4 linked regions of the Lepisosteus oculatus genome follow. The protein of the gene in region 2 purifies or fractionates together with the protein of the main gene of each other region. This does not show direct contact. Links are inferred from orthologs where the notes say so. Each region holds a gene or a part of one and is shown on either strand. Other genes may lie near its edges.

Evidence for each region.
Region 1: the proteins of psma5 (region 2) and psmf1 purify together in Homo sapiens (co-immunoprecipitation; 3 studies listed by BioGRID and IntAct, with this or other methods). This does not show direct contact. The link is inferred for Lepisosteus oculatus from reciprocal best matches to the Homo sapiens genes PSMA5 and PSMF1.
Region 3: the proteins of psma5 (region 2) and psme1 purify together in Homo sapiens (co-immunoprecipitation; 5 studies listed by BioGRID and IntAct, with this or other methods). This does not show direct contact. The link is inferred for Lepisosteus oculatus from reciprocal best matches to the Homo sapiens genes PSMA5 and PSME1.
Region 4: the proteins of psma5 (region 2) and psmg1 purify together in Homo sapiens (co-immunoprecipitation; 4 studies listed by BioGRID and IntAct, with this or other methods). This does not show direct contact. The link is inferred for Lepisosteus oculatus from reciprocal best matches to the Homo sapiens genes PSMA5 and PSMG1.

What each region holds. Positions count from the first base shown.
Region 1 is NC_090711.1:642,558-650,628, forward strand, and holds the start of psmf1 (proteasome inhibitor PI31 subunit), read left to right. Parts: upstream 1-4,803; 5' UTR 4,804-4,912; coding exon 4,913-5,041; intron 5,042-5,396; coding exon 5,397-5,549; intron 5,550-6,031; coding exon 6,032-6,114; intron 6,115-6,798; coding exon 6,799-6,993; intron 6,994-8,071. UniProt on the Homo sapiens protein: Plays an important role in control of proteasome function. Inhibits the hydrolysis of protein and peptide substrates by the 20S proteasome. Also inhibits the activation of the proteasome by the proteasome regulatory proteins PA700 and PA28.
Region 2 is NC_090700.1:39,863,774-39,871,387, reverse strand, and holds the start of psma5 (proteasome subunit alpha type-5), read left to right. Parts: upstream 1-4,346; 5' UTR 4,347-4,361; coding exon 4,362-4,378; intron 4,379-4,967; coding exon of another isoform or gene 4,968-5,042; intron 5,043-5,172; coding exon of another isoform or gene 5,173-5,190; exon of another isoform or gene 5,191-5,396; intron 5,397-7,614. Other genes in the region: sypl2a (synaptophysin-like protein 2a), read right to left, coding at 741-936, 1,612-1,739, 4,968-5,042, 5,173-5,190. UniProt on the Homo sapiens protein: Component of the 20S core proteasome complex involved in the proteolytic degradation of most intracellular proteins. This complex plays numerous essential roles within the cell by associating with different regulatory particles.
Region 3 is NC_090699.1:14,406,581-14,414,430, reverse strand, and holds the start of psme1 (proteasome activator complex subunit 1), read left to right. Parts: upstream 1-4,585; 5' UTR 4,586-4,713; exon of another isoform or gene 4,714-4,802; 5' UTR 4,803-4,841; coding exon 4,842-4,880; intron 4,881-5,629; coding exon 5,630-5,662; intron 5,663-7,506; coding exon 7,507-7,569; intron 7,570-7,850. UniProt on the Homo sapiens protein: Implicated in immunoproteasome assembly and required for efficient antigen processing. The PA28 activator complex enhances the generation of class I binding peptides by altering the cleavage pattern of the proteasome.
Region 4 is NC_090700.1:6,524,560-6,532,852, forward strand, and holds the start of psmg1 (proteasome assembly chaperone 1), read left to right. Parts: upstream 1-5,115; 5' UTR 5,116-5,217; coding exon 5,218-5,339; intron 5,340-6,185; coding exon 6,186-6,283; intron 6,284-6,835; coding exon 6,836-6,978; intron 6,979-7,245; coding exon 7,246-7,308; intron 7,309-7,725; coding exon 7,726-7,924; intron 7,925-8,237; coding exon 8,238-8,293. Other genes in the region: mpzl1l (myelin protein zero-like 1 like), read right to left, coding at 1,563-1,632. UniProt on the Homo sapiens protein: Chaperone protein which promotes assembly of the 20S proteasome as part of a heterodimer with PSMG2.

The sequences.
Region 1 (8,071 bases), on a different chromosome or scaffold from region 2:
ATAATCAAGCAAGAGATGACATAGTAATGGAAAATTGTAAAAATACAATCACATAGATGTTCTTACTCCTCATCAGCTGAAATCAGCTTTTGTAAATTTCAGTTACAAAATAGGGCATAGACCTTCCACTACAGCTTTTCTGTGGTTCTAGATTTTATCATCCACACACCATCACCTTTTCCTTTTTTGCTAGGTGGCCAGAAACTTATTTTGGTTGGGATAAACCTTATTTATTGTTAATATTTAATAATAATGTGAAGCCAGTTGCTGTGCTCTGACCCACAAACTGTGAGAAGTGCTCCTGACCCTTGAACCCAGCGGAAATAAACCAAAGCTCAGAAATGGAGCCCCCATTCCTTGTTTCCGTGGAAACAGGGTCAGATCATTAGATAGCTAGGTCCTTACACAGAACCATGGACACCGGTGCAACACAAGAGACAGTAGCACCCAATAACACTCAGCTGAAGACTCTCTGAAGGTTGTGAGGTCCCTCGGAGGAGAGATACGCTGGGAGAAGAGAACTGAAAAAAAACAAAGGCAGACCCAGGGCCGGGAAAGCAATGCCAAGAGCATCCCTGTCCTGGCTCCAGAGAGGCAGGCTGCTCTGGCACAGGCCCGAGAGCCTGAGAGGAGTGGATCCACTCTAATGATATCAATATGGCCAGGGCTTCGGCTGCCTCTGACTCAACTCTTTCAAGTCAGTGAAGAGAAGGCCTTGTGAAGATTAGCGCTACTGTACTGTTTACAAAAAACAAATAGTTTCAAGATCCGACATAATGTTTGTTATTGAACCACTAGATAACAGCTGGATTCACATCAGTAAAATCCCCAAAAAAAGTGCCGTCCTAAATATAGAATTACTTTATTTACATATTACATTACATTCTAAACCCTTAACGATTCGCACATGTGTTTTCATTACCGGGTTCGCAGGGACAAAAATGTTCGGGGGGGAAACCTTTTATTTCACTTTCTTTTTCTCTTCCGCGTGAGGGCTCTGGAACAGCAGTTCAGGCATGGTCATAGTCCGACTCCTGGCATTTCTTTTCCCTCGGCTCTCCGGCTGGCGAGCGAAGCGCTGGCTGTGCTGTGTAGGGGTGGAGGTGTCAGTGGGGTTGGCTTTGTGCCGCCTGCGCCTCACTTCTGTTTCAGGACTGCTCATTTTACTGTGGCAGGCCGCCGTCTGCTGTCACCCGTCGTGCTCCAGTGTCCAGAGGCACAGAGGAAGTAGGTGAAAATGGACACTGCCTGAGAAGAGCAGAAGGCCCAGCAGGTCAGGTTTCGGGGAGCCGGGGATCCTCCGCCAGCTGCTCACTGCCTGAAAAAAATTTGCAGCTTTAACTGCACAAGGGCATGAGAAAGGCTGACTTCATACCTATTAACTCAACCTGTTTCTGTCCTGCCTTAAGTGCCTGGTTTATTTTAAGCCCGACTCTAACTAAAAAGCAAGCTAAAACCATGTCCTGGACTGTCTCTCCCTCCTGCAGTGTGATTTAAGGCTCTCTTTAATTGGTAAGTCATCATGTACAGTAGAAGACTGGGCTCGACTGTGGTCACCACTTTACAACAACGATGATGCTACTCTGAAATCAGGCCAGAGAAGATCGAGCAGGTATGTTCCCAGGCTCAAAGGAGCAAAAAGGTAAAAGAAGTAAATATTTTAATTTCAAAAAGAAAAAAAGTGACCAGATTTAAGTATTCAAAATCCTCACAGTGAAAGATTTCAGTATTCAAAATCCTCCTGGACAACAGTGAAGCACCAAGCAGAGCACACAGGGGCAACTTAGGCAAGTGCTTCTAGAACCTAAACCAGGAGGCACTTTACACAAAGAGTCTCAGGGGTCTGGAACAAGCTGACACCCTCGCTTTCATCATGGGATGACCTGAGCAATGAGGTAATAGCAACCAAATGAGCTAGATGGGTCTCCCATTCTCACGATGAAGCCGCTATCAGGTGACTCAGCAGGCACTCATTGGTGCCATTATATACAACACAGAATCACTGTGTTTAGCCAGAACACATGTTTAACATCAGGAGAGTTTTAATGGTACTGCACTGTGTGTGTCCTGGGCTGCAGCTCCAATGATGCGCGCAGCACCTGTGAACCTGGTGCCAGGCTGCCTGGCCTCGTGCTCCTGTGGTCAGAGGTGTGCAGGAGGTAAAGGACTCCTACAGACTAAAGCAAAATGTGGAGGTCCTCCGCACGCCAGTGGAGGATCCACATGGTTTCTGGACATGGCCAATGTTTCACAGCTGCGGTTGCAGAGGAAGTTGGGCGGCAGCCAGGCTCTGACACGGCTGGAAGGCGTGATGGGCTGGTGCCAGGTCACCTCGCCCTCCCCAGGGCTGCTCCGCTGGGGCAGGATCCCGGAGGCCAGGCCTCCTTCAGCTCCGGACCCGTCTCCCAGACAGAGCTCCTTCCACACGTCAAGGAGGACCTGCCTGTCCTCATGTCCAGAAGCACACGGGGGCTGGCAGAGTCATGCAAGTGATCTAGTAAGACCATATATTGTTAATTAATTGTGCAAACAAAGAAGACAAAGTTGATGGGAATATGCTGTGTAAATGAACTTCTGTGAAATGTGTTTTAGATATCCCAGAAAGAGGAAACAGATGTTGCTATTATCATTCCATGAGATTTCAGAAAGTTTGCAAAGCCTGTGATGAAATTAGAAACCACATTCTTTAATGATTTTTTTTCAGCTTTCGTAGGATTATACTGCAGAGAAATGTAACTTTGCAGTTACTTACGTAACATGCTTATTGTCTGCTTGGGGGTTGTACGTGAATTGTGCATGTTGTCATGGCCTGGTCTCTGGAGCTCAGGCCTCTTGCACACATGCACACTCCCACCCTCCGCAGGAGACACTGCTCCTGGAGCCCTGCGCACTGACCTTGTTTCAGTGGTGGATACCTTTGCACCACTGTTACTGCTAGAGCCCACAGACATTCATGTCATTGCTAAAGCTCCTGCATTAATAGTGTTGATTATCCCTGTTTATGTAATTAAACCCTTTTTTGGCACTCCACTGGGCCCCTGTGTCACTGTTGTTCTCTGATGTCCTAAAAATAGTGATAATAAACAGCACCTTCAATGCTTCATTAATGATACTGAATGCCCAGGGTCTTCTTTATTAGTATGTGGTTAGAAATACAAAACCTGTGTGTCTTACAAGCTCCCCAGTGTATCCACTGGTTATACAAGACTCTGGTCTTACTAAATCACCGTCACAGCATGCCTGTGTAATAAAGGGCCTCAAGCAAGGGTCAATGCTAATTTATTTCAAAGAATACACATATCACTTCTGAACAAGTGAAGGTTTATTCCATACTGTAAAGAGAAGAAAAGAAACACAACCTTTCGGCTGTAGAGCCTTCTTTGGGTGTGTCCCAAAGAAGACCTAATAATAAACCTTTACTTGTTCCTTTGCAGCCTACACATGCTGATGCAGCTGCCTACTTGAGCTATCACATGTCCAGTCACTAAAAAGCATCCTTATTATTTATAGAGTCCATGTTACCAGATATTAAAAAATCAGGGATTTTAAATACTCCAGGTTTTTTTAAAATTGGGGAAAGAATATTATTTTTGAAAAATGTATAGACCCCAATCAGCCCAGCCTGCATGCCCGTAGATGGTGGTAGGAGACACACGCGGACATGCAGACTCCATTGTTGACCGTTTCTAAAACCACCCACCAGAGGGAGACAATGAGCCATGTGGCGCCACAAATCCTATAGCAGGAGAAGAACATTAGAACCGTTTCTAATGCAAGAAGACCATTCAGCTTGTTTATCTAATTTGTTATTTCTCAGCAGCTAACTGGTGTAGTTATCCTATTCCATGTTTTTTCATGAAGGAATATCAGCTACAACAACAGCATGCCTGGATAGCTCGTTCCAGACCACCACAAGCGTTCGTGTAAGGAAGTGACTCCGGTTCTCGGGTTTAAATGCGCTTTCACATAATGCCCACTTGCGTCCTCTGGTTCGTGTTTCACTGTTCATCCCGGAGGACCCCACAGCGATTCACGGGTGGGGCGGGACCCGGGGAAGTGCGGTTCTCACCCGGGCAAAAACTCCGCAGGTCAGGAGATGGGGGAGGAGCTGTTTCTCCGGGTGATTTAAGCGTGAAAAGTGGGGCTGGTTCGCACTGATACAGGGTGGAATTCAGGCAGGACATCGGCTTTAATGGTGGTCATGAATATTGGTTTAAAAGCATTCATATTAAAAATCCTACAATTTAATAATTTCAAAACTGATAGAGACTTCATTATATCCAAGTTCAATACGTTATAATTATACAAATTCAGTATTTCTTAATATTTAAATATAAATAAAACCACTTTAGCGTGCATTACATATGGTCTCATTTTCCAGAACCACGACTTCAACGCTCAACGCTGCAGGTCAACGTTGCATGAGCGAACACTGCCCTCTGTGGTTTCTGCTCTGTATTGCATGCAAAAATGACGAGTCATTAAGAGAGAAAATTATTTTTTATATAATTTAAATTTAATCTGAAATCACTTAAAAAGAGAATAAATGTTTTGAACAAGGAACAAGAGAAAACAAAATATAGCGCGTTCACAGGTAGAATGAATGTATTAACAATTAAATTTTAAATAGCACGTACAAGCAGGATAACGTCTGTTTTAGCTATATTTCATTTATTACGGGTAAGTTTGGCAATTTCCTCGGAAAAATATTGCGAGTCACACGGGAAGCGTTTTTGAAAGAAACTGAATATGCCACATTTGCCGGGCGGAACTAAAATGAACACAGGAAGTGTTTCCATCTCGGAGTTTCAACGCAGTGGGACACAGTCGCGATGGACTGCAAAACAGATGCCTGGCAGTTTCGCTTTTGTGTTTCGGTTCAGCGTTGTGTCGGTGCATACGTTCGTTGAAGATGGCAGGTTTGGAGCTCTTGTATAATTCTGTCGTCAGCAGCATCGCCTGTCCCCAGGATGCCCTGGTTTGTTTTGTGCACTGGGAGATAGTGAAAAACGGGTACAAATGCCTGGGCGTCGGAGACCAGGTATGTATGGAGGTACCTGTTCACTTTTACCTGGCTGAATTAGCAATGCGCATTCAGGGATGGAGCACAGTGCAGGCTGTACGCGTCTAGGGGTGTAACTGTTGTCAGCTGCTATTGTGGGGAGGGTATCAAAATGTGGTTAGAAAATGTTTAAAAGCGGTGGTATTTGATGTGCTCTCCAGATCACATCTTCTGCGGTAGACGCCATTCAAGAAAAACACAAGAGTGGAAAATATAATACTGGTAATAGCGCGGTGTTGTCTGGCAGACAGAACTGGCACTCTTCCGAAGTGCGTCATGCCCGTCTGATACCTGTCGTACTTGTGGGGTAGTGATGGGTGTGTGACCGTTGCAGCCGAGTAGCAGCGACCGGCAGTCGGAGCTCCTGCCGGCGGGGTGGAACAGCAGCAGCGAGCTGTACACACTGAGGTACCAGTCGGGCGACAGCGGCGAGCAGCTGCTGGTCAAGGCCGTGACCGTGGACACCACGCTCATCTTCAACGTCCTGGTACGTGCGGCTCGCTGCGTTACTGCAGCGTATCTTCACTCGCTGACTGACCACGGCTACTTCAACTTTGCTGATCCTTCTGTGTGTTTTTCTTCTTGAGGAGTAGTGAAGGCTTTTGTCTGTAACTCGTTACCGTACTCTTGCACTGAGTAATGTGTGCAGCTACAGGATTTCACGCAAGCAGGTATGAGCTGACCTGAGACTTGATTCCATAACGAATCTCAAGCTGACAGAAATGAGTGCTCTAGTTGTTTTTGCTGAAATGGGTTCTTATTTGTAGACCACTGGAAAACAGTTTTCTATCTTATTTAATTTGGGAAGTTCTAATTAATAAAATAATTAATCCCAGGGTTCCATTATATTGTGGAGACAAATGGAATAAAATCCAAGTGAAAGGAAATTGATTGAAAGGAAAGGATTGAGAAGCTTTGTTTCGGAGAGTATTATGGTTTTTTTTTTCTGTTCTGTCTTTGTTGTGTCAGGAGTCAGCTTCAGGACGTGTGTCTGATCTGACAGTGAGCCTTGGTGATTATGTGCATGCAGACAGTCTCCAGGTATTCGAGAGGTGGGTCAAACGTCTCTAGGCTGTCGTGTTGTGCTAAAAGGGCAGAGTCATGCAGGACTGAACTCTGTGTGTTAAGTGAGATTCTTTATTGCCTGTCAGACACTCTTATCTCTGCCATCTAATGACTCAGAGTTGGGCTATGAAAGGATTGGCAACTCGTTTTAAGAAATCAAAATCACTTCATTTCGCAGCAAGAATCAAGCAGAAGTTGTTTTTATCCCTGCACTCAAGACACATTAAATGACAAAATTGTAGCAAATCCAATATCAATAACAATTTTATTCAGGACTTTAAACATTAACTTTTTGGTATTTTTCCAGCATGGTATTTTTCATGGTTTTATTAATTTGTGCTACAAATAGAAATATGTTTTTCTATGATTGTGAATTGCCTGTTGCAAGAATGTTGATATTAACATGCAGCTGGTCTTTGGTGCATTTATCTATTTTGGAGAATTGCACAAAGTGTCCTGATAAATCTGGTCTCAGCAGCAAAGTGTGGTGAGTACAAAACAAGTTGCCAATCCAGGAAAGTGTTCATTGTTAAGATGGTGTGAGTGTTTCTAGTCCCTTTGTAGTACATTTGTAGAAATGTTTAGTCTTCTTCAGCAAGGAGCGTAGGAGCTGTGTCAGCAGGTGATGGGCTGATGTGGTGTTGGTTGTGATGTACTGCCTGTCTTGACAGCGTGTTCAAGAACACTGAAGAGCTGAGGAAGAAGGTGCAATCAGGGCTGTTTCCTTCAGCCTCCAAACAGAAGACTAAGCCCAGTGAGAAGGCAGAGAAGAAGGGCCTGAGGGAGAGTCCTCCATGCTTGTGGCCCGACAGAGACCCCCTCCGGATCCCCCAGAGAATTCCTCGTTCTGACCGGCAGCCCAGCTGGTAGGGCCACAGGATGGGAGCTACAACAATCGTTGCTCCGAAAGGCTGAGCTATTAAACTGTACAAAACTGCAAAAAAACATGCACTGTAAATGACGGTTCGATCTCCATTCCATAGTGCTGATGAGAAAACAGCAAACGGTATAGTATCCAATTTCCCTGCCTTAGTCACAAGCCTGTTTGCACTCGTGCTTTTACACATGGGAGTGACTGAGTCTTCCTGGGCTCGTCGAGCTCTGTGTAACACTGCTTGTGCAGGGCTGCAGGCCTGTTGAGCTGACGCATACTGCAGTGAGGCAGAGTGACTAGGAGCCTGTAATCACTCTGTGGTTTACAAGCTTCTCTGGCCAGAGCTGAGACAAACAAAATGGGCTTCTCTGACTATGGTTTGATTGATGAAGCCTTTACTGATAGCGGCTCTTAGACACTTTTTCCTGGAGTGAAGAAGCTATTTGGCTGAGACATACCCTCATCTCCGTTAAGGCTCTTTTGGAGCCTGAAATTCCACTGTTTGTAATCTTCCTGTATGGCACATGGAAGTCCAAAAAAAACAATTATCAGTTTTTATAGCCTGCTCTGATGATGTAGTGAATGTGAACTGAGTGTGTTGGGGCAATTCCCGGCTAGTAGTAATTTTCAGTACATTTTCAACTGGTGCAGTGTTTAGCATTGCTGCCTCAGTACTAGGGCTCTGGATTCAATTGTCTTGTTTGCATGCATTTCCTTTGGATGCTCCAGTTTACTCCTACAGTCCACAAACATGCTTGTAGGGTAATTGGCTTCTGGGGAAATTGGCCTTAGGGGTGAGTGTGTCTCTGTGTGTGCCCTGTAATAGACTGGAGTCATGTCCAGGGTGTACCCTGCCTTGCACTCGTTGCCTGCTGGGATAGAGTCCGGCTCCCCCGCAACCCTCAATTGGATTAAGCCGTTATGAGATGGATGGATGTAGCTTAAAGTGGATTGAGTTAAAATGATTTTAACAATTCAGGTTAGGAGATTTAAATTCTTTTCTATTTAATAAGCACTTAAACATAAGTGTTTCTTTAAGCCTGATTTGTTTTACGGTTAAGAACACTTGT
Region 2 (7,614 bases):
CTAGGAAGCTGGGAATAAGAAGTGCAATGTTTTTAATAATAATTAATAATAATAATTGCTTACACTTATATAGCGCTTTTCTGGACACTCCACTCAAAGCGCTTTACCCCTCCACCACCACCAATGTGCAGCCCCACCTGGATGATGCGACGGCAGCCATAGTGCGCCAGAACGCTCACCACACATCAGCGATCAGTGGGGAGGAGAGCAGAGTAATTAAGCCAATTTATAGAGGGGGATTGTTAGGAGGCCATGATTGATAAAGGCCGATGGGAAATTTGGCCAGGACGCCGGGGTACACCCCTACTCCTTTCGAGAAACACCCTGGGATTTTTAATGACCACAGAGAGTCAGGACCTCAGTTTTAAGTCTCATCCGAAGGACGGCGCCGGTTTACAGTATAGTGTCCCCGTCACTATACTGGGGCATTAGGACCCACATGAGCCGCAGGGTGAGCGCCCCCTGCTGGCCCCACTAACACCTCTTCCAGCAGCAACCATAGTTTTTCCCAGGAGGTCTCCCATCCAGGTACTGACCAGGCTCACACCTGCTTAGCTTAGTGGGTTGCCAGTTGTGAGTTGCAGGGTGATATGGCTGCTGGCATTTTACTGGTTTTGGAGCACTTCAGGCCCTGCGAGAGCAGGGCTGGGTTGTGGATGGACTGGCTGGGGGGCCGAGCGGGATGGGGGGCTTTGGGGACAAGGCGCGGAGCCCCCGTGGGGCGGGGCCTGCTCACTTACCACGATGGGCCCACGGCTGGTCTGGCGGTACACGTGCTGGTAGCCCAGGTACAGGACGAGGGTGGCCACACAGTACAGGAAGCCGAAGACGCCGACACAGACGAAGAACTCCGCGGAGGAGGAGTAATCCCCCTGGAGGTACAGCTTCTCCGTACCGTTCTTGCAGTTGGTGACCTCGTACTCCACTTGACTCAGCCTGCGGAGCAGCAACAGCGCAATCAGTCAGGCACCTCGCTGCTCATTCTGCCCGTTTTACTGCTAGTTTTCTGCCTGGATACTGGGAATCGCTGAATGAAATGGGTTGGTAACAGAGCAGTCAGCGTTGCTGCTCCACAGCCCCCAGGTCCTGGGTTCAAGTCTGGCCTGGGACTCTGCCGTTTGTGAATAAGATAAGAGCAGCTGCTATAAAACTGCCTTTGTGGATGTGTGCCCTTGTGTCCTGGCAAGCTCTGAATGCTTTGATAAACAGAACAATAACTCAAATGGATGTTCTAAAGAGGTTACAAATACTGTCACATTGATTTTCATTGTTCTAAAAAAAAAATGTAAATGGAGATTTTAAAATGTGCCACAGTAGGATACGTATTTGATACTGTCTAGTAATATAACATGACTGGCATGACATCTGGATGTCAGGTGGGCAGGAGCTGGGCAGTATCGCATTGCAGAGGAGGCGAACAACACAGTATCACCCACTGAAGGTTTCAACCATTGCCAACTACCTGCAAAAGGAGTGCCTGTTTGTGAACACTTACACCCAACAACTGAGCCGAGGGCATGGATAACGCAATCCAAACACCAGGAAGAGAACCAGCACAGTCATTCCCCACACCAGCACGGGAGGTGTTCAAGGCGCAGTTCAGGAACCCACCTGAAGGGATAGCCGAAGCTCGTGGTGATGTTTTGGATGGGACCCGGTCTTCCAGATGTGCACAGGACGGTGACGCCTGTGGTTCCGGTGTAGCCCCCCGTCGTGGCGAAGGCAAAGATCGTGAAAACCTGCAAACGAGGAAGCGGCTCGGCTTTCACTCGCGCCCCAGTGCTGCTGCCGAACGACCGTGCCCTCCGACCCCTTCCCACTCATTTCACAGCTTCCTGCCCAGAGGCAGGGAAGTCACATGCTCGCTCTGAAAAACACTGCATGTCCCGGGCCAGGAGACCGAGCGCTGGCTACTCAGCACAGACTGGGCCTCGGGCACGTGGGAGGGGCCTGTCGACAGCTCCACCGAGAGCTCTGTGGAGGGGGAAAGTTGTAAGAAGGGTTCACCTAGTTCCCTTGTTTCTTCTCTTCTTAGAAACAGAAAGAGAAGAAGCAGCAAGGGAGATGCAGCCTGTCTGAATACCACTCTCACCAGATATGTTTCAGCAACACTCTAGGGGCTGGAGCAATATGTGCAGATAAAACCCCACTTTGGCACATGCCTGGTCTTAAATTTCCAGTGACTGTATTCTCAACGACAATTAACTGCGTATCTTTTTCTGACACAGCAGAGGACTACCATGAACGCTCAAGCTTCTCAGAATGGCTGGAACACAGTAAATGCTGTGCGAATCTCTCATTCCTGCAAGCAGTGGGAATTCATTGTAGCAAAGGTCTATCAAGTTACAGATTAGCCTCTGGAAGCGGACTATATGACTTCCTGCCAAAGTCCTTGCTCAGATCCGCTGGAGTTTTATGGGCTGACCGAGGGGCCTGGAGTTTTCACTGCTGCAACTTGCACACCTGGAGCACTTCAAGCCTTTCATGTCCCTGTTTTAAAAAAAAAAAAAGACTCCTCTCTTCCTCTCATCCCCCATCCCCAGATCCTCCCAAGTGCTCCCTCCCGAACTCTTTAAATAAACTCTCCCAGCCAGCACATTCCTTTGTGATTCAGCACTATTAATGGCTTTGTATTCCCACAGGCTCCCTGGGAAAAAAAAACACGCAGTACATGTAGACACCTCAAGAAAAACTCAAACTTAAACAAACCTGCTGCCCCCCTCCCGCTAAGGCAGCACCAACACAGAACATGTGCGTTCGTTTCTGCCTCGTCAGCGTCATAAAACCCTGGACGTCCAGCTCCACATGCTCGGCTCGCAGCCGCCAGGCCTGTCTGGCCCTGTGTGTGTGCGCCCAGCGGGCGGCCCAGCACGCCAGCTCCAGCTGCCTGCCAGCCTGGCAAGTCCCCCCCCGGTCCCGGAACCAGCCGCAGACGGGGGGGCCAGCCCCGTCACCCGCCAGCCTGTGTCCCCGTTAGCCAAACGCAAAGGAACTGGAGCCGGGCCTCCGACTGCAGAGCAGTGGCTCGGTCCATCCCGGGTTTTACCACCTGCGGCCTCAGGCCAAACGGCGCACTCCGAGGCACATCTGCATAAACTGCTCAGGCCTCGCACCCTGGCGTGTGATCTTTGGTTGGAACAGGATTCAGCTGGTAACAGCGCATACACATCCCTTCCCAGCACAGCAGGCCCTGCTCTCATGTGTGCCGAATCCGACTGCACTACTCTTTTTTTTTAAGCCTTTTCTCAGCCGCTTAGCTAAGATCAAGTGTAGTATCGTTTTTTTAACCTGGCCTTGAAAACAAGCGGTACAGTATAAAACAACAGACATTCATTTACATATATATTCTTGGCCATCCCTTCGAAAAGGCGTAATGAATGAATTTATCTTTTCACGGTGGCACAAGCAGACCGACCCTGGTGCGTGAATTTGCGTGAGCGTGTTTCTCAGGAGCCCGCAGACTCCAGGCGGCGAGTCTGCGACGGCGCAGGGGAGAGCCGCACACTCCGCGCCACGCCTTCCGCACACACGGAGGCCGCCCTGACCGGATTACCAGCCCGCTCTCCGGCTGCAGAGGAGAAACACTCTTCCCCTGCAAACTCCTGTACGGTTTGACACTTGCCTTTTGTACAAAGCTTTATTAGAAGCTGAAAATGTTGGTGTAGTCCCTTTATACAGCACCCCTGTGAACACACCTGGGCTGCACAATGTGAACACACAGCAGCCACGCAGCTAATCGCAACCCAGCCCGGATAATCTCATGCAAAACCTGGAAGAGCAGTTCCGCTGCTCCGGGCTCTGGCCCTCCCTCCCTCCGAACAGTCAGGACCTATGACCAGGCGAAGTACTTCACTGTCAACTGGAACAGTTTACTCCCTCAATATTTAGCATTTCGGTTAAACCCAACGGCTTCTGATTTAGTGGCCAACTTCCTTCATTCTCGTGTTTTATTTTTAAACACCTGACCGAGGAGAAATAGGGGTAGCGGGTATGAGGGGTAGGGAAGACGGACTCCTAAACTCTTCCAAGAAACCGAGCGCCGTCCTAGTAGAGAAGCTCTCTTTCAAGTGACAGAAAGAGGCTCGCACCTGTGGCGTGAAGTCACGGTCAAGTGCGTTTCGTCTTCCTGTTGGTAACAAATAAATAAATAAATGGGCCAGTTTCCGCCAGGTCACGCCGTCCACAGGGCATAGCCGTTTGGGAGCTGAATAACCCGGTCCTGTCCGGTCCGGTCGAGACTGGCACCGCAACGCTTCTGGTAGACCCCTCGAATCCCACGGGAAACTGTGTCGCTATTATCAGGCCAACAACTTCAGATGACCCTGCATCGTCATCTTCCTACAAGCACGCCGTCATGACAAATGAGCTTTGCGACAAGGTGCGTTTTTTCGGTATCGAGGGCGACTCTTTGGCCTTGCAGACAAGCCCGCGTGTGACCCCACGATTTACTTCTTAATTATAAAGTACTTTACATCTTTACTGTCACTAACTTGCAACCACCCCGTCTTTAACTATACACTTACCCGACAGCATGAGCGACACACGTTTCATAGTAACTAGCTAGAGACCAAAACGTAAACCTGTTCCATCTCATCGTTACATAGAAACATGAGGAAAAATAAATCAACACGGGAGAAACGTGCTTAAAAACGAATTCAAAAGCGGAGCGGGGTCCCAGCGCCTCGCGAAGGTTTCCCAAGCTGGGACTTGGGTGTTGCCTTGGGGAATCATTATTGTATAAATCTTCACGCTTCGGGTAGCAGACTAGCAGAAAAACACGGTCTCATCGCAGCTGGTGCCGAAGCAGCGCTAACATCCACCCCAGATCCGTGCAAGTGCATGAGTTAACACTGATTAACTTGCACGGAACCGAAAGGGAGAGTGCACCGGGCTAATCGCTAGCTGCTCCACCGTGTTTCGTTTCTTCCCTCAATAAAAAAAGGCCGAAAGCATGCACAGGCGCTTACCCACTCCAGGACTCGGATAAATCCCAGGGGCTCTTTTAAAGGTCCGATGTCCAGGCTGAATCCCGTCATGACTTTCTAGAAGTGCGAACAAGCAGGAGAGAGGTGTGACAACGCGAAATGGGACGACAAGCGCAGCGCGGAAACCAGCCGCTGCGAGATTAGTGATCAAAACGCAAATGTAGTTTTTTTTTCCAAGTTAAGTTACCTGAGCTACCGCCTCCATTGCGTTATCTCTGTGAGTTTTTTGCGAAATTACTTTTCTACGGGCTCAATTTTTTTCTCTTCCTGCAATCAAACCGTTTTGTTGAGAAATGTTTTTTTTCTCTTCCCAAGTGCTGTGAGTCAGCCTACCCTTGACCGCCTAGTTGCAAAAAAAATCCTCCTTCTCTCTCTCTCTGAACTTTTCTCTGTCAAACTTTCTGACCCGACACCCCCCGACCACGTGACCCGGCTCTTAAAGGCGCACGGCGTCACGCGACGCTCCTGAGCAGTCAGGAGTTTGCAATGGGATGTTGCTATCTTTCACAGAGTTGTTATATGAATAGTAATTAAAACAAACGCACAGAGGGCAAGGACGCCGATATTATTTTACGTTTCAGTTAACATAAACGGCGTCTTGAAACGCACACTATTCGTGTACGCGAAATTAGAAGAGCTTCACCACATTGGCACGGAAATTAAGAAAAAACGAGTTTGATTTAAACAAATGCCACCACGTCTTCAAGATTTCTGTTTAAGATTGCATATCTAACATTTCTACGTTATTAACACAATAAAATGCAGATGAACACTTTCTAACTTTTTCTACATAACTACAAGTTCTGTAACTTTTACATCAATGGGTTGTTTCAATAACAATAAAAGTGTATTTCGAGCTGCATATCCATTTAAAACATCGACAAAAGTCTAATTTTAAAACGTTCTCAGGCTGCATTCTACTTAAATGTTATTTTAAACATATAATGCAATGGTATTGTTATAATCCAGTAGATTGTTTTACAAATCCAGACTTGACGTCCTTTAATTCCATGTGCTATTCAGGAATTATAAAGCAGAAACTGACACAGTGTTAACAGCCAATACAAACCACGTACAACTTTTTAAGAGTTGAAAGAAAATTTAGAAGCCTCCTAAAAAAAGAATATTTGAAATCATTTCCCCGCACTTAAGAACGTGGCTGGAGTAAATACCCAGACACCCAGTTGTTCATCAAGATCAGGATTGGTGTAGATGTTCCTGAGTAGTTTACTCTGTTCCTTGAAGGACCAGTGTTTTTTGGTTTTGCACCAGAGCTCTCAGTTTTACAGATGGACTATTTAAGGGTTTAAATGAGGAGCAGCTTCACTGTGTGTTGCCTGCAAAGGATCTATCCATCCATCCAACCATTTCCTAACAGCTTCATCTCATTCAGGGTCATGGGGAGCCATAGCCTATCCCAGCAGGCAACAGGTGCATGGCAGGATACACCCTGGACAGACCAGCCCATCGCAGGGCACAAAGGAACCAGTAAAGGTTCATTACTCAGAGGAATGTAAAAGGAAAGAAAAAACACCTTCAGTCTTCAGGCCTTCTTCAAGTATGACCTTAAGGTTTTGACACCTGAAGAAAGCTTGGCAGCCAAAATGCTTTGTTTTATTTTACTTTTTCAGTGTGACATTAAACTTTACTATGGATTTTATAGGTAATCTTAGTCTTCTATTAAGTGACTGTTTTGGTTAATCAACTGTAACACACCTCAAGAAAAACCCTATACTGTTCTGGTACCCTTTTGCCTGACCGCCCCATCATCTCATACTGTCGACTGCCTAATCTGTACAACCTTATTGTTCACAGCTCCCTTGACTGCCCTCAGCAACCATCCACACCAGACACTTTTCCCCCGCAACAGAATCTGCTGCAAATATATATCCACTATCACTTCCATTCAAGGCCTCTCTGGACAGATGACATATTGTTCTTCCTGCAACCTTGTTTACTCCATCTCTTGCAGAAAATGCCCAGACATCTACATTGGCGAGACAGGAAGGAGACTGGGAGACCATTTCAGGGAACATATCAGGGCTGTGAGGATCAAAGATCCCTCCAAACCTATAGTTTCACATTTCACCTTTAACAGCCATACTGATCTCTCTGTCTGCATTCTCACAGAGAAGGACATCCGAAACTAGAATCACACCTTACGCCTTCTCTCAATGACAGACTTGTTTCCTTTCCACTCCTGTCTTTTGTTCTCCCATACTTTATCAACTGCCCGTTTTCCTCTCTCCCCCACACCTGAAGAAGACTCCAAGCCAAAATGTTGTGTATCTTTTCTTTTCAGCTTTGAATTAACCTTTACTTGTTCCTTTGCAGTCTACACATGCTGACGCAGCTGCCTACCTGAACGTGTTCCACCCTATACTGTACTCGTCTGACTAAGAAACGAGATCAATGATTAGAACTGATATTGGGTGGCACAGCGGCGCAGTGGTTATTATAGCAGCCTCGCAGCACTGAGGTCCTATGTTAAACTCTGGACAAGGAGTGCTATCTGTGTGGAGTTTGTACGTTCTCCCCTTGCTCGCTCTGGTTTCCTCCCACAGTCCAAAAAAATACTGGTAGGCTAATTGGCGCCTGGGAAAATTGGCCCTGGTGTGAGTGTGTGCCC
Region 3 (7,850 bases), on a different chromosome or scaffold from region 2:
TCCTCTTTACTAGAGGAACTGTAGAGAATCCTGTTCACTAGAGGGACTGCAGTGAATCCTCTTTACTAGAGGAACTGTAGTGAATCCTCTTTACTAGAGGAACTGTAGTGAATCCTGTTCACTAGAGGAACTGTAGTGAGTCCTGTTCACTAGAGAGACTGTAGTGAATCTTCTTCACTAGAGGAACTGAAGAGAATCCTGTTCACTAGAGAGACTGTAGTGAATCTTCTTCACTAGAGGAACTGAAGAGAATCCTCTTTACTAGAGGAACTGTAGAGAATCCTGTTCACTAGAGGGACTGTAGTGAATCCTCTTTACTAGAGGAACTGTAGAGAATCCTGTTCACTAGTGGGACTGTAGTGAATTCTCTCACTAGAGGGAATGTAGTGAATTCTCTCACTAGAGGGATGTAGAGAATCCTCTTTACTAGAGGGAATGTAGTGAATCCTGCTCACTAAAGGGACTGAAGTGAATTCTCTAGAGAGTGTAGATAATCTTCCATGAAGTAGCTGACATGGAAAAGGTGTGTTGGTACCAAAGAGTGGAGAGTCTGTTAAGCGAGGTCATTTAACATGAATATTTTAGTTGATCATTTCAGGTGATTAACTGCGCAAAGCCAAAATCTGAATAATAAATTCAAATAACAGAAGCAGAAATTCTTTATTTTGTGAAAGAGAATTATCTGATTCTGCAGTCTTGACCTAATTCATCAGTGGCAACGTGTTATCTCCAGATCACTCCCCTTCAGCCACGTCCGGTCGCTCGGTGTCCCGGAACGACGTGGCCGGGTGACGCCTCTGCCACCTGGTGGACAACCCGGCAAACTACAGCTCGGTCCCGGAGCGCGCTGCAGCTTGTGAAGACGTGACACGCGGCACGACGCGCGCCCTGCCGCTCTGCAGGTGAGACACGGCGTCGCAGGCACCGCCGCAGGTGCTAGGGTCCGAAACAGGGTCACTCACAAGGTCAGGGGTTCCAGTCCTGGTCTTGGGGAGCCCCAGTCCCCAGTCTTGTAGGTCAGGGGTTCCAGTCCTGGTCCTGGGGAGATAATTACAAATCTGGGGTGAGTTTCCCCGAAAACGCTGAATCATAGAGACTAACGAGCAGCATTACGATGTACGTACTACTTTTTCGCGCGTTTCCCCAAACCCCCCCTTAATCGGTCATTTTAGAGCGAGTATAAAGTACTTCTTTGCTCACCCCGCCCCTGAAGTCGCTTAGCAAAATTGCTGATAAAACAATCGATCGACGATACGTTCATTATATGGTGTCGGTTTTGGTCCTTCAGTGGGTTGAAATTAAGTTGTGAAAAGGAATATGAAGTAAACACGACATCATAATTTAACAGCCATTCAAGCGAAAGCGTATCGATAGGCACAAAATGGGACACTTATTGTTTCTAAGAGAAAAGAAAATAAATGACTGACGTGCCGTAAAAGAAAACCAAGACTGACTGTGTGGAGAGTGTATGCATCCTGCACGGCGTCTTCGATTTAAAGCAATATTTTTTAGCGCGCTGCCACTGTTAAGAATCAGTGTTTCATGAGAAAATACTGCTGTTATTAATAGTTATTGGGTTTATTGGAACTCCATTTTAATCGGTCTTATTAACACGACATCTGTAACAATGAACTAACCAAGCTTGGCACTCAACTCGACAAATACAGGACCAATAATCAAGTTTGAAAAGAAGCAGGTCTAAGCTTTACCGTCATCAATCACGACAGAACATAAAACGGTATTGGACTTTTAAATATGGCATCGACCGCGGGTTTCGGTAGGGAACGGAGCGGGCGTGGGGCTCGAGGAATGGGGTTGAACAACACATTTAATAACGAGAAACGAGGAAAGGTGCATACACAGGGACAGGGGTTACAGCGCTGCACACACACACACAGGGGCTGGGTCCAGAGTGAGCCCGGGGCTGAGGGGGGAGAGAGAGGAACTCTAACACTCTCTCACTCTCACTCTCACTCACACACACACACACACACACACACACAGGGGCTGGGTCCAGAGTGAGCCCGGGGCTGAGGGGGGAAAGAGAGGAACTCTAACACTCTCACACTCTAACACACACACACACAGGGGCTGAGGGGAGAGAGAGGAACTCTAACACTCTCACACACACACACACACACACACACACAGGGACAGGGACAGGGGTTACAGCCCTGCACACACACACAGGGGCTGGGTCCAGAGTGAGCCCGGGGCTGAGGGGGGAGAGAGAGGAACTCTAACACTCTCTCACACACACACACACACACACACACAGGGACAGGGGTTACAGCCCTGCACACACACACACAGGGGCTGGGTCCAGAGTGAGCCCGGGGCTGAGGGGGGAGAGAGAGGAACTCTAACACTCTCTCACACACACACACAAACACAAACACAAACACACACACAGGGGCTGGGTCCAGAGTGAGCCCGGGGCTGAGGGGGGAGAGAGAGGAACTCTAACACTCTCTCACTCTCACTCTCACTCACACACACACACACACACACACACACACACACAGGGGCTGGGTCCAGAGTGAGCCCGGGGCTGAGGGGGGAAAGAGAGGAACTCTAACACTCTCACACTCTAACACACACACACACAGGGGCTGAGGGGAGAGAGAGGAACTCTAACACTCTCACACACACACACACACACACACACACACAGGGACAGGGACAGGGGTTACAGCCCTGCACACACACACACAGGGGCTGGGTCCAGAGTGAGCCCGGGGCTGAGGGGGGAGAGAGAGGAACTCTAACACTCTCTCACACACACACACAAACACAAACACAAACACACACACAGGGGCTGGGTCCAGAGTGAGCCCGGGGCTGAGGGGGGAGAGAGAGGAACTCTAACACTCTCTCACACACACACACGAAGGGAAGAGAGTGTCTCCCAGCCTCCGCCCGGCTCTACACAGCCCCGCAGTCCCGCCCCCGGGCGCTGTTCTCAGTCCGCCCTGGCGTGCGCCTGCTTACGCGCCCTGCGTGGCGCAACAGTATAAATACATGTGAGACCCAATGATTTCACTTAAATAAGGCATTACTGCATTTCATCGCGGCAATCATATCATCTAGTCAAGTATAAGACTTAGCCGTTTTTATTTTTGAATGAAGTGTATTGTAACGGATTGGGGTTCTCTGGGCATGCGCCCTCGCCGCTCCCGTACAAACAGGTAGAGGGGAAATACAGATGAAAGACAGACAACATAAACAGAACAAAAACACAATTAACTGCCAGCGGGAATGAGGTGAATATTTATGTAACCAAGCTACATGTTTACAAATATCAAATGTTTTCCTTGCTTTAGCATTTTTGCACGTTCTTTATGGAATTTAAATCCAGTTTAAACTCCACCTCAAAGGTACTAAAGGAGGGAGTATTATTGGCCCATTTGACTAATAAATTCATTACTGTATAAATAAATGTTCGTTTTCCAAATTTCCTCTTACATGGTACAGCAAAATATCAAACTCCTTCATATAAACTCTTAGTGTCCTGTATTCCCAGAGGATGCCCCTGCCGTGAAGTGACGGTGCTCTGTCTGGGATCTCTGGCGCTCAGGGTGGGCAGGAGGAGGCCAGTTTAAGAAGCCCTTAGTGATGAACGAGCGGGTCGGGGAGCACGTCGAGTGCGAAGGGTTTAACGTGCTACTTCAGTAACGACGGATTTGGGGAAACACTCGTCAATTAACGATCGATCTTAAGCTCGAGTTTACGATGTTCTCAGCGTCTTTATAGTGTATGGCTTAAGCAATAGCTCATCTCCAGCGTGCAAGCGTTAGAAGCGGGGAGTAGCATCGGAGCCTTTTTTATTTGTTTTTTATTAAACATATAAAGAATTTACAAATACAACTACAACCATAGGATCCGAAACAGACAGGTACGAGAGAAAAAAACACAAACAGAAAAAAAAAACATTTAACCGCCAGAGGTAGTGAAGTAAATGATGTGATCAAATTGTATTTTTATATATATCATGTGTTTTCCTTGCTTCATTATTTCTCAAATTTATTATAGAAATTAAAAAGTGTTTCAGCTCCACTTCAAAAGCACTAAAAAGGGGAGTACTATTAGACCATTTTGATTTATGAATGTGACATTTACCATGAATGACTTATACATTTTCTTTAAATAAATGCTCTTTTTCCAAATTTTCTATTCAACAGTACAATAAGCGTCGGAGCTTGTGGGGACAGGGACGTCACAGGGTGCCTCGGTCGCCGTGACGTCACGACAGCAGCGAGCCGCCGAGACGCTCTCGGGTACCGGAGCGAGTTCAGAGACTCTCCCCCCGCACGTAACACGAAAAGTGATTATTCAGCCTCTTATAAATAAATATTGCTCCTAAATCAATGCGGGTTGGCATAAGATCACAAAAGACTATTACTGAAGAAATAAATACCTGTATAATATGCACATGATTTAGAAAGTTAAAGATACGGACGAAGCTAGGCATGGGAGTTGTAGTTCCTTTGCGCCGCTTTCGACGCTTCAGTCAACCGGGACGGCCGGGGCTAGAAGACTACAAGGAAATCCCCATGAGTGAAGTTGAGTTTTTTGTTCTGTTAGTTCGTATGTTCGGGTTTCTCCATAACTTTCGGTTTCACTTCGACAGTGCTGACTAACCGTGTCTGTCGAGGCCTGCAGCAGCGCACATCTTCAGATAACATTCACCTTCGAAGGGGGTATAATCGCACGGTAAATTGCACGATAGCCAATTGTAACGCAGGTGAACTTGCTGTCGTGATAATAGCGATAGTCGTGACAGTAATCGGTGTTTCCAGCAGCAAAGCCCGGACGAGACCTTACTCAAGTACCGCACCGCGATGAATCCGCTGGAAATGAAGCCAGAGACGAAGAAACAGGTTATTGTTGTTGTTGTTGTTATTATTATTATTATTATTATTATTATTATTATTATTATTATTATTATTATTATTATTATTATTATTGAGAGATGAGGGGGCAGTAGTCTAGGAAAGAGAGAGACAGACAGATCTCGGAGTGTGCGAGTGTAATCCGACTCTCTGTGTCTGCACCTCCTGAGCTACACCTGTCAAAACACTGACTCCTAGACTGGGAGAGAGGAGGAGGGGGTTGTGAGGGGTCTGGAGAGGAGAGAGGGGTGGAGAGGAGAGAGGGGTTGTGAGGGGTCTGGAGAGGAGAGAGGGGTGGGGAGGAGGAGAGAGAGATGAGAGAGGGGATGTGAGGGGTCTGGAGAGGAGAGAGGGGTGGAGAGGAGGAGAGAGGGGGGTTGTGAGGGGTCTGGAGAGGAGGAGAGAGGGGTTGTGAGGGGTCTGGAGAGGAGAGAGGGGTGGAGAGGAGGAGAGAGGGGGGTTGTGAGGGGTCTGGAGAGGAGAGGAGGAGGGAGAGTGGAGAGAAGGAGGGAGAGGGTTTGTGAGGGGTCTGGAGACCCTCTGGAGAGGGATTAGAGAGGAGAGAGGGGAGAGACTGAGGAGAGAGGGGAGGGATTGGAGAGGGGAGAGACTGAGGAGAGAGGAGAGGGATTGGAGAGGAGAGAGGAGAGAGGGATTGGAGAGGAGAGAGGGACTGGAGAGGGGAGAGAGTGAACTGTGAGGAGTTGGACGATGATGTGTCTCGCTGTGTTTTGCAGGTCGATGGATTCTGTGCACAGCTGTCCAAAGAGGTGAGCCCACTCAGAGCGCATGGCAGGTCACAGGAGTCCCCGCTGTCTGCTCGGCTGCTGTGTATCAGCTGTGTGTCGCGTCTGTGCTGTGTGCATTTTTGCTGTGTTGTGTTAACTGTGGGTCACGTGGACTTGTGCATTAGCTGTGTGCAGTGTTCGTGGGGTGTTATAGTTGTGTGTTAATTGTGTGTTGTGTGTTGTCTCTGTGTTGTGTTAACTGTGTGTCACTTGTAGACTTGTGCATTAGCTGTCGCCAGGTGTCGGGGGCTGTCCTGTGGTCAAGCTCCTGCAGTTCAGAGAGGGGCAGCGTGGGGCTGTCGTGTGGTCGAGCTCCTGCGGTTCAGAGAGGGGCAGCGTGGGGCTGTCGTGTGGCCGAGCTCCTGCGGTTCAGAGAGGGGCAGCGTGGGGCTGTCGTGTGGTCGAGCTCCTGCGGTTCAGAGAGGGGCAGCGTGGGGCTGTCGTGTGGTCAAGCTCCTGCAGTTCAGAGAGGGGCAGCGTGGGGCTGTCGTGTGGTCGAGCCCCTGCGGTTCAGAGAGGGGCAGCATGGGGCTGTCGTGTGGTCAAGCTCCTGCAGTTCAGAGAGGGGCAGCGTGGGGCTGTCGTGTGGTCAAGCTCCTGCAGTTCAGAGAGGGGCAGCGTGGGGCTGTCGTGTGGTCGAGCTCCTGCGGTTCAGAGAGGGGCAGCGTGGGGCTGTCGTGTGGTCGAGCTCCTGCGGTTCAGAGAGGGGCAGCGTGGGGCTGTCGTGTGGTCAAGCTCCTGCGGTTCAGAGAGGGGCAGCGTGGGGCTGTCGTGTGGTCAAGCTCCTGCAGTTCAGAGAGGGGCAGCGTGGGGCTGTCGTGTGGTCGAGCTCCTGCAGTTCAGAGAGGGGCAGCGTGGGGCTGTCGTGTGGTCGAGCTCCTGCGGTTCAGAGAGGGGCAGCGTGGGGCTGTCGTGTGGTCGAGCTCCTGCGGTTCAGAGAGGGGCAGCGTGGGCCCCAGCGAGCCGGACTCCTGCACCCCTCCAGCAGACAGGAGAGGCTGGCGAAGTGTTTTGTTCAGGGAACTGTCGCTCTCAGAGGGAGGTGCACCCAGACTGGGGGATGGCTCCGTTGCCTAGTTGTGTGAAGTCCTGGGGTGGGCGCTGGTGAGGGCAGAGTAGTTGGAAATTGGGGTGTAAACGTGCTACAGCTGAGCAAGGCGCCCCAGAAGGCCTCCGAAGAGACAGAACAAAAATTGTGTGGTGGTGTGGTCTATCTCTCCGGTAGTGTGGTCAGGCTCTCCAGTGGTGTGGTCAGACTCTCTAGTGGTGTGGTCAGGCTCTCTGGTGGTGTGGTCAGGCTCTCTGGTGGTGTGATCAGGCTCTCTGGTGGTGTGGTTAGGCTCTCTGGTGGTGTGGTCAGGCTCTCTGGTGGTGTGGTTAGGCTCTCTGGTGGTGTGGTTAGGCTCTCTGGTGGTGTGATCAGGCTCTCTGGTGGTGTGATCAGGCTCTCTGGTGGTGTGGTTAGGCTCTCTGGTGGTGTGATCAGGCTCTCTGGTGGTGTGGTCAGACTCTCTGGTGGTGTGGTCAGGCTCTCTGGTGGTGTGGTCAGGCTCTCTGGTGGTGTGGTCAGACTCTCTGGTGGTGTGGTCAAGCTGTTTGGGAAGGGAAGCCAGGCTGCGGTGCAGTCAGGTTACTCCTGAAAGGGTGTCCTGGGGGAGGGAGAGCCAGGGCTTGGGGGCGCCCTGGAGCTGGAGCTGGAGCCCATGTGAGCGGTTTGGGGTCCGAGCAGGCCCCTCCGCGCCCGGCCGGTCGGGTGGCGCGCTGCTGTGGGGGATCTGCCTGCAGGAGCGTGCTCACGGGCTGCCCTGACGTGTCTCTCCTCGCAGGCCGAGAATCTGGTCGCCTCCTTCTTCCCCCAGAAGATCGCGGAGATGGAGGCCCTGCTGCTGGTACGGACTGTGTGACTGTGTGTGTGTCCTGGTGCAGTTCAGTGTGTGGTACAGCGCAGTGGAGTTCCCTGCCCACTGCTGTGCTCTGTGCGACTGCACAGTATAGTGTGTTATACTGCAGTACAGTACAGTGTAGTACAGTGCAGTGTAGTGTAGTATACTACAGTGTAGTGCAGTGTAGTGTAGAATACTGTAGTACAGTGTAGTGTGTTATGCTGCTGTAGTATATTGCAGTACAGTGTACAGTACAGTGAGGTGTGCAGTGTAGTGTACAGTACAGT
Region 4 (8,293 bases), about 33 Mb from region 2:
TGAGAAACACTTTTCATTATACTATGCACCTGTGTTTAATGACAATAAAGTTGAATTGAATTGAACTGAAAGCTCACCTGAAATTGCACCTTTGTTTAAAGACTACATGATGCACACTGTGGATTGTAAATGAGTTTACTGTACAGCTCTTTGAGGCAGACTACGAACTTCAAGAAAACCCCCTTTTCTTAATGTAAACCTATACATGACCGAAAAAGAACATAAGATGCTGACCTTCCCCTGTATCTTTAGTTTAGCCGATCCAAGTGAACGTTTTGCGAAACTTAACCTTCTAGAATCGGCACAGGAAAGGGGTGTATGAGTCACAGCACCACTGTTATTGATACTTTATTGATCCTGTGAGGGGAAACTGCAGAAGACGTGCAGAAATGATCAGAGAAGCTCGTGCTCTTCCCTGACAAATACACTGTATTCTTCCCAGCAGACTGTAGCTCTGCGCTGATCAAAGTTAGCTTTGATGAAAAGATGCTAGCTTTTGGGTAGTCGGATAAAGGCTACTTTCATCTCTGGGCCGGGTGTAAGGTTTACAGACACCTTGTCACAGGATGTCATGTGACCTACGGGCTTATAAAGCCTCAGTAGACCAACAGCAGGCAACACCATTCTAAAAATAAGCTGTAGCATTTACTGATGCTAGAGACGGGCGGGTTTCTTCTGAGAATCCGCGAAATAATAATTACAGAAGAAAAGGGTGGGTAGCTGGCTTAGAGAACTACAGCTATTGTGTCCATTTAAAGTAAAATCATAGCTTTCCTTACAAAGTCGATCCATGTGTGCGGGCTCAATTCACGTAACAAGTTTAATGGAAACCGTAGTAAAAGGAAAGAAGGGACTCTTCTTGCGCCGAGAAACTGACGCAGCACCAGTTCAGATGTAGAGATATATATCGGAAGCACAGACCTGATTCCTTTCAGGCCAGTACCATATGAGTCACCCATATTGCAAGGCTCTCGCCCATAAAAGAGTATGTCTTTTCATTTTCGTTAGCAAAGACACGTCTCAAACGTTTAAAATACCGTTTGCACCGTCCAACACTGCCTGTTGTGTTGCTACTGAGCGGTGGGGGTAACCTCTAATCATGTACGCACACCCACAGTAAACGGCAAAGCTCGGGTTTTGATCGAGGTGAATCTTTCGTTTTCCAAGAAGTGAAAATGCCGGGGGACCTGCCCGTTCAGCCGGGGGGGGGGGAGGGCAGCGGCTGTACCTGCCTCACCTGTGCAGCAGCAGCCAACAACACATCGGCTCCGGCGGCTGAAACCAGCCAGCGGAGAGTCCGTGACTAAACGGAAGCATTTCATCCGGCAAAAAATGTGAGCCTTGGGAGCGGAAAAAAAAAAACGCGTTTAAAAAGCGATAAAGAAATCGAAGCTACCAGGCGCCGGAGGCCCACCGCTAAAACAGACATTTACCCTCATCCTCCTCCCCATCACCACCTCTTCGTCCGTGAATTTTTTTTTTTGTTAAGATGCATTCTTCCCTCCTGCTCTCTCATCTGCCTGCCTCCCTCCCCGCCATACTCTACCTGCGCCGATACTGACCGAGCAAGAGAAGATGCGAGCCGAGGATCCAGGCGAAAGCACGGCGCGGGTCCGAGCCCCTGCTCTCCATGGCCAAGACGGGAGGGATTCGCGAGTCCAAAACGCTGCGCCCCGTCCCCTTTTTTTTTGTGTGTGTGTGTCTCCCCCCCTTTCACAACAACAGTCGCTCCTCTCTCCCCGTCTCTCTCTCGCTCTTCCTGCATGGCAACAGGAAGGCCCACCCCCGTGTCCTCCTCCTCCTCCTCCTCCTCCGAGATCCCGGACAGTGCCCGGCACTGATTGGGATCCCGGATGGATAGGAGTGGGATCGGGATTGGGGAGTGACCGACTGGGGGAGCCCGATAGGCGCTCCGGCCTGCCAATCAGACAGGCCCTGCAGCCCTCCGCCGGAGCCCCACTGCTGCCGCGGCTCAAGCGGCGGTACTGCTGTGCAGAGTCAATAGTATTTACGTACAGTAATTATTAGAATCAACTTTATTTCGCATGGCGCCCTTGAAGGTGGCTTCTCCAAGCGCTTGACAGAATGATAACCATAAAAAACACACCAGATTCGCAGCAGGGGAAGGTCCTGTCACCCCCTCGAGTGTAGATGGGTTTTGGGGGGACAGATAGGAGACCAGAATCAGAAGACTGGGTTGAGTGAGGGTTGTGAGGTGGGGAGTAGGATGATAGTATCAGACAGGTCATACAGAGCCTTATAGGTGAGCATGAGGACTTTGAAGCCGGAAAGACCCTTGTGCAGAGATTTAAAATTAATCTAGATGATAACTGTGCCTTTTGATACCATTCAACGTTTATTTTGGTTGTGTCCTATTGTAAAAACCTTCGGGACTGAATTGAAAACGTATGTTAAAAGAAGAAGCTAATATTGATTTTTTTTTAAGAAATGGACATCATGTTAAGCTTCAATTGAATTGGAAATAACACGAATATATCCTTTGTAATTGACTTAATTATTATTCCTGCACGTTATTATTTATGTCAAGTGAAAGGGTCTGGGAAGACTCCTATGTTGTCCTATGAACATTTGTAAATAGATGTAAAGGCGTACTTGCAGACTTTTTCGAAATGTAAAAACATGAGCATGGATCTTATCTTTATTCTGTTTAAACGTTTATTCATAATGTGTATAGGTACTGTAATATGTTCTCCTGACGATGATATTGTTATGTTATGTTATATGTACTCTTGCTTGTATTGTATTTTATTTTGCTGTCGAAATAAAAAGTTAAAATATAAATTTTACTCCTGTGGGTCTCTGTTGGGTGGGACTGGTTTTTTTTTCGATTTAACGACAAGAAACCGCGTCGAGAAACAAACTCTAGTGCACTCCTGCACACCAGTCCGGGCGTTTTTTGTTGTTTTGAGTGGTACTTCGTTCAAGAGTTACGCAAGAACCGCGTCCAAGGCAAAATCTGAAAAAAAAAAGGTTATGTTTAAAACAGACCACGAATACAAGAAAAAAAAAAACGTGTCAACGTGGAAATTGAGATCAAGCACTGGGTGAGGGACTTCACGCAAGCGGCTCGTTGGTCTAGGGGTATGATTCTCGCTTAGGGTGCGAGAGGTCCCGGGTTCAAATCCCGGACGAGCCCGGTTATTTTGTTTCCTTTTTCAGGAAAGCTGGTGAATGTAAAATTTGGTTTCAACCAAAACAGTTCGAGGTCAGTCGAACACTTGTAGTATCCTTTTGCTATACCTGTAATCGTTTAAATGTTGGTACACATAAACCAATTGCTTATAATAAAATCGCAAAATGCTTAAAACACGAAATGAAAGAAATAATGCCCAAATATAGGAATGTTTAAAACAAAAAAAGTCAGATGACAAAGTGTTTCAAAATAGACACGGGCTCGTCCGGGATTTGAACCCGGGACCTCTCGCACCCGAAGCGAGAATCATACCCCTAGACCAACGAGCCGCTACGCGACTAGTCGTTGAACCACACTCCTTAATCGGTGACGTGTGCATGTGTTGTATTAATTGACGTATTCTGTTCCCTATAGTCTCAAAAAATAAAACAGCCTGCTCGAGGAACTCAGACTTCCAACATGTCCGATTACATGCTTACCACTCTTGTTGCAAATGTGTCCCTGCGCTGCAAATAATGCAACATTCGTACGTGGTTCACAGCACTGTAAAACTAGACTTTTACAGCAGACAGCTTGTATCTGTGCATCGTGGTTTGTGCAATAGGCAAGCGCCCGAGTGATTAAAAACACAATTCGGTGTTATCTTTTCTTATTTCACGGCGGTGAACACCGAGCCAGCCCAACAAGACGACGCGCTACCCTCTGCTGGGCAGTAGCCGTAATTGACGAGAGATGTGAAAGTTAGGTCTTCTGGCTGCTGTCGAAACCAAAACCAAAATGACCAAAAACGAAGCCTTAAAGAAAGGAAATGTATATAAATATGCTGTTCAGTCAAACTATAAAGGCTACTACCTTAAGTGTAAAAGTCTCTCACAGAAAAATGCACCGATAAAACAGGTCACATACAAGTAGACAATTTTGTTAAGAATCAATCAATAAAAATCAGATGAAATTTCTGTTAAAACATTTTGACTAACAGCAAAACAAGAGATATATATCGCTTGTACGACTAATGAGAAGGGTTGGTCTTCCAGCGAAGTATTAGTTGGGGAAATTGTTTGCTCTGTAATGGCGTTATCGTATCTTTCTGTCAACAAATGGTATCCCAGAAGAATTCGTTTTTCCAGGATGTATACAGTTGGAATACAGTTGGTTGCGACTGCTTTGATGCCAATTCATTTGTAGGAAAGCGCCTTAGTCATTCAGGAATAGTAGGTTACTATCTCCACTGATCTTCTGCAGAAAACAACTTTTGGGCTTGTGTGTGCAGAGCTTGCAAACGCACAAGTCTGTCGTCTACACGTACTCGAGTATTCGTGTTATCTGTGTTTTTTTTACAGGAAAATATTGTATGTATTATTAGCAATCAGGTGGTAACTTTAGGAGTCAGGTGACAAGTGACAAGTTTCACAGTGATGTGGTGATTTGCCTTTCACTGGGCACAACTCCACACGACATATGAAAACAGGATTTACTTACAAATATGCGGAATCTGAAGTTATCAGGCAGTAACACGCTATGTAAACGGAAAGAAAAAAAACATTTTTCTGTAATTAGCCACCGCTGAAAAACAACAGGATTCAAAGAGAAACCAGAAAAGCAGGGCAGAAACAGTCAGACATAAAATACTTGAATTTTTTCATGTTATAAAGCATCAGTTTATCTGTAATATATCTAACATTAACACCATTGCATCAGAGAACTGGCAGGATTTTATTTAATTGTTCATTTTTGAATCTTACTATTTGAATTATTTAAATATTATTTAATATTAATATTTTAAAACATCGTTAATGGTTCAGTGCTATGTCGCACTAGAGAACCACTAGAGGAGATGAGAGAACACGTCTCATCGGTTTTATCATGATTTGTTTCTATGGTATAATTTGTGACTTACCCACAGCCATTCGGACAGCGCCCTCTGCTGTTCCTGGTGTGGTATTGGCCACAGCCCAGCGGCCTACTTGCTCAGATCCGCCTTCGGAGTTGAGCAGGGAAGTTAGAACAAGCGGTGACTTTGTGGGAAAAACGCGCATTGCTGTGTTGACACAGAAAACCTCCTGATGGCCACCTTTTTCGGGGAAGTCTTGTCTGTGTACTCCAGAGCTGTGGAGGAGGATGAAGATGAATTAGAAGATGAAAGCGAAGAGGATGTGCAAATCCGGAGAGAAATAGAAAACAAGAGGTAGATGATACCTACGTAGGAAAAAAAAAATGAAATAAAGGACACCCCCTTTCAAAGAGAAAACGCGTACTTCTGCATGGTGTTTTTACGATTTTACATTGTTGGTACAGCTTTACACAAACTGTGCTATTCTGTAAACCGCTGGTATGATAATTCTAACATAGGGACACGATATGGACAGAGGTTTACAATAACGTTAATATGGATGTTTTTTCAATGTACGTTAGGTGTTTTGTGGGGAGCATCTTTGGCAGAGTACGGTGCTTGTCCGTGTTGTTTTTGTGCTGTTTTATTCATATATCTCACATGTGAGGTCTCTTAACTTTCGCTTTCAGTTCTTTCTGGTCGTTTCTACCACACTCCTCAGATATCTCTTAATGGCTGGTCTGAGGACCATGAAACGTAGCTGATTTAATGGAACTATAAATTGCACCTCGGTTGTTCCAGGTTCTTACCCACCCGTGATTTAAGTGAAACCACAATACCTGCTGGATTTTGCGTGTCGAGGAACAGAGGTCCCGGGCGCATAGAATAAAAATTAACTTACATTTAAGTGATCGATATTGAGTTTACAGCCTTTTCCAAACCGACTTGCATAAAAACGCGTTAAGAACAGGACGATGAAATCCGTCAAAGCTACTGTATGTTCAAAGGCATGTCAGAACTCAAAAGGTCATCTGTCCATCATCAGAGAGACTCTTGGTAAAGGTAGTAGCAACCCAGAGCTTATCCCATGAGCACAGGGCACAAGGCAGACCTACAGCCCGAGAGGGAATAATATGAACAACTTTCCTGTTTAAATTGGCTGCAGTAACCAACAGTTTCTGTTGTCTTTTGCTTTGGCAGAGAAGTCCATGTTCACTGGAGCTCAGAGATCACAAAGTCAACAGACAAACCCTTTCAGTGCAGTGACTTTATCATAGGAGTGGGACACAATGCAGCAGGTAAGCAGAGGGCAAAACAGCTCTTTCTTGCTTAAACCAGTTAATGCACCTATTTCTGGTGGGTTTTTCTGATGGGCACATTTAGCTGAAAAGCAGAAATAAATAGTTTAAATCAAGGTTCCAGTATACGGGCCTACATGATGAATATGAATAGCTTCTGTGACTCCTGACGCAATACCAAAAACGAAATGTCTTGCTCTAGCGTTATATTAGGCAGTTTTCCCACTAGCTGTTGTCTGCAGTTGTTGATATTATCATTTACTTTCAATCCACCCTGTTAGACTCAACTTTGTTGAAGATTTTGCATTGGTCTGGACGCTGGAAGCTAAGGGTATGAGACTAACTTTGTACGCTGCAGTGTCGTCTCAGACTGTCCGCCACCGTAGCTCGTGAGTGCAGACGGCTCTTTGATTCATCGTGAGCGGGATCGGTGTCGCGATGCAGGAGTGGTTTGTGCCAAAGCACGGACAAGCGGAGGGGGGTTGGGGCGGATTGGGAAAGCAGCAGGCTGGGCGGCTTGGCTCGGCTCACGCGGTCTCTTCTCTCCTGCAGGGTTTCTCTCGGCCTTTGTCCTGAGCTCTGGGAGCTGGGAGGCAGTGGGGTCGGCCAGCCTGTGGAACGAGAGGAGCAGGGGCTCCAGCCGGCCGGCGGGAGAGCCCTCCTGTAGGTTCTACAGGTCGGCTGGCTGCTCCTCGGTGAGTGTCCCCCTTCCGACGGATCCCGAGGGCTGGCAGGAATAGTGTGACTTCGGAGCTGTGTGCCGAGCTTTGAGGAAGGCCCTGGAAATAGCGTCAGGGTGTGCAGTCGAAGTGCACTGTCAGGCGTCTACATGGTGTGGTGTAGATGGGTGAAAATGTACTGTGTTTTATTACAGCTAACTAAAAAAGTTAAGAAGACAGGGTTTTTTGTAGGTCAGGTAACATTCACTTACGTTTCTGCATTCCTCTCTTTTGTGTTATAAGGTTCTAATATGTCTGTGCACGTGCTTTGTAGCTGAAGACCAGTTATTCCAGTGGACTGAAAAGGTAAGATAATGACGTTTTTTTATTTATTTTAGACATCGACGCGAGTTTGTTCTAAGCCTGCTTCCGAGCCGAGATGACAGTGAGTCTTAAGCCATGTGTAGCCAGTCTAGCCAATCAGACATTTAGTTCAGTTGAGTTTCACAGACCTAACGTATGGTAGTCATAGACCCTCTGCTGACTGAGAGCTGGATTTGAAACGGTCTTGTCTGAAGGCAGGTTATTCAGGCTCAGTCTCTGATGACAGAAGGCAGATAAAGCCATTTAAAAGTGTTTACTCGCGCGTGGTTCAGGAACGCATGCCAGAGCTAGTGGAAAAACACTTACTCAGGCTTCCACAGGGGTGTTGTGAAACCTCTGCCTTAGCAGGCGGGTGAAGAGGGGGCTGCGAGACTCTTTCTGTACCCCTGTGGTCCGCAGGTCTTCGGCTTTATCCAGACGAGAGGCCTGCAGGTGCTGGTGCTGTCGGACGCGTCTGTGTCCGAGTACACAACGGCAGATCCCGTCTCCGCCAGTCCAGTGCCCTTCCTGAGAGCCTTGAAGTCCAGCGCCTATCAAGACAGGGTGCACTGCCCCATGATGGAGCAGCCCAACATCGTCACCTGCCTTCCTGCTGCAGGTACTGCCAGTGTCCTGGCTTTCCAACCATTCATCCTCAGACACCTGCTCGATTCGAGACCCTCCGGTTTTCTTCAGAAATAATCATTTCTGCGACAGCTTCATCATAAATTAGTCTTTCACTTTTTTAGTTATTTCTGTGGTATTATTTTCCCTCAAGAACATCTGGGAAAGGTGAGGACTGTTCTAAAATAGGCAGGGGACTGTTAGTGATATTGCCAACGCCAGACAGACCAGAGCCTTGACAAGCACCTGTTACAGCTGAGTGTTTTCTGTGAAGTGCTCGATGATCCCCTCTGCATTATTTTTTTCAGTTCTGAGCCACTGTCAGGTTCATCAGATCCCAGCTGTCCTGTATCAGTGCTACAGT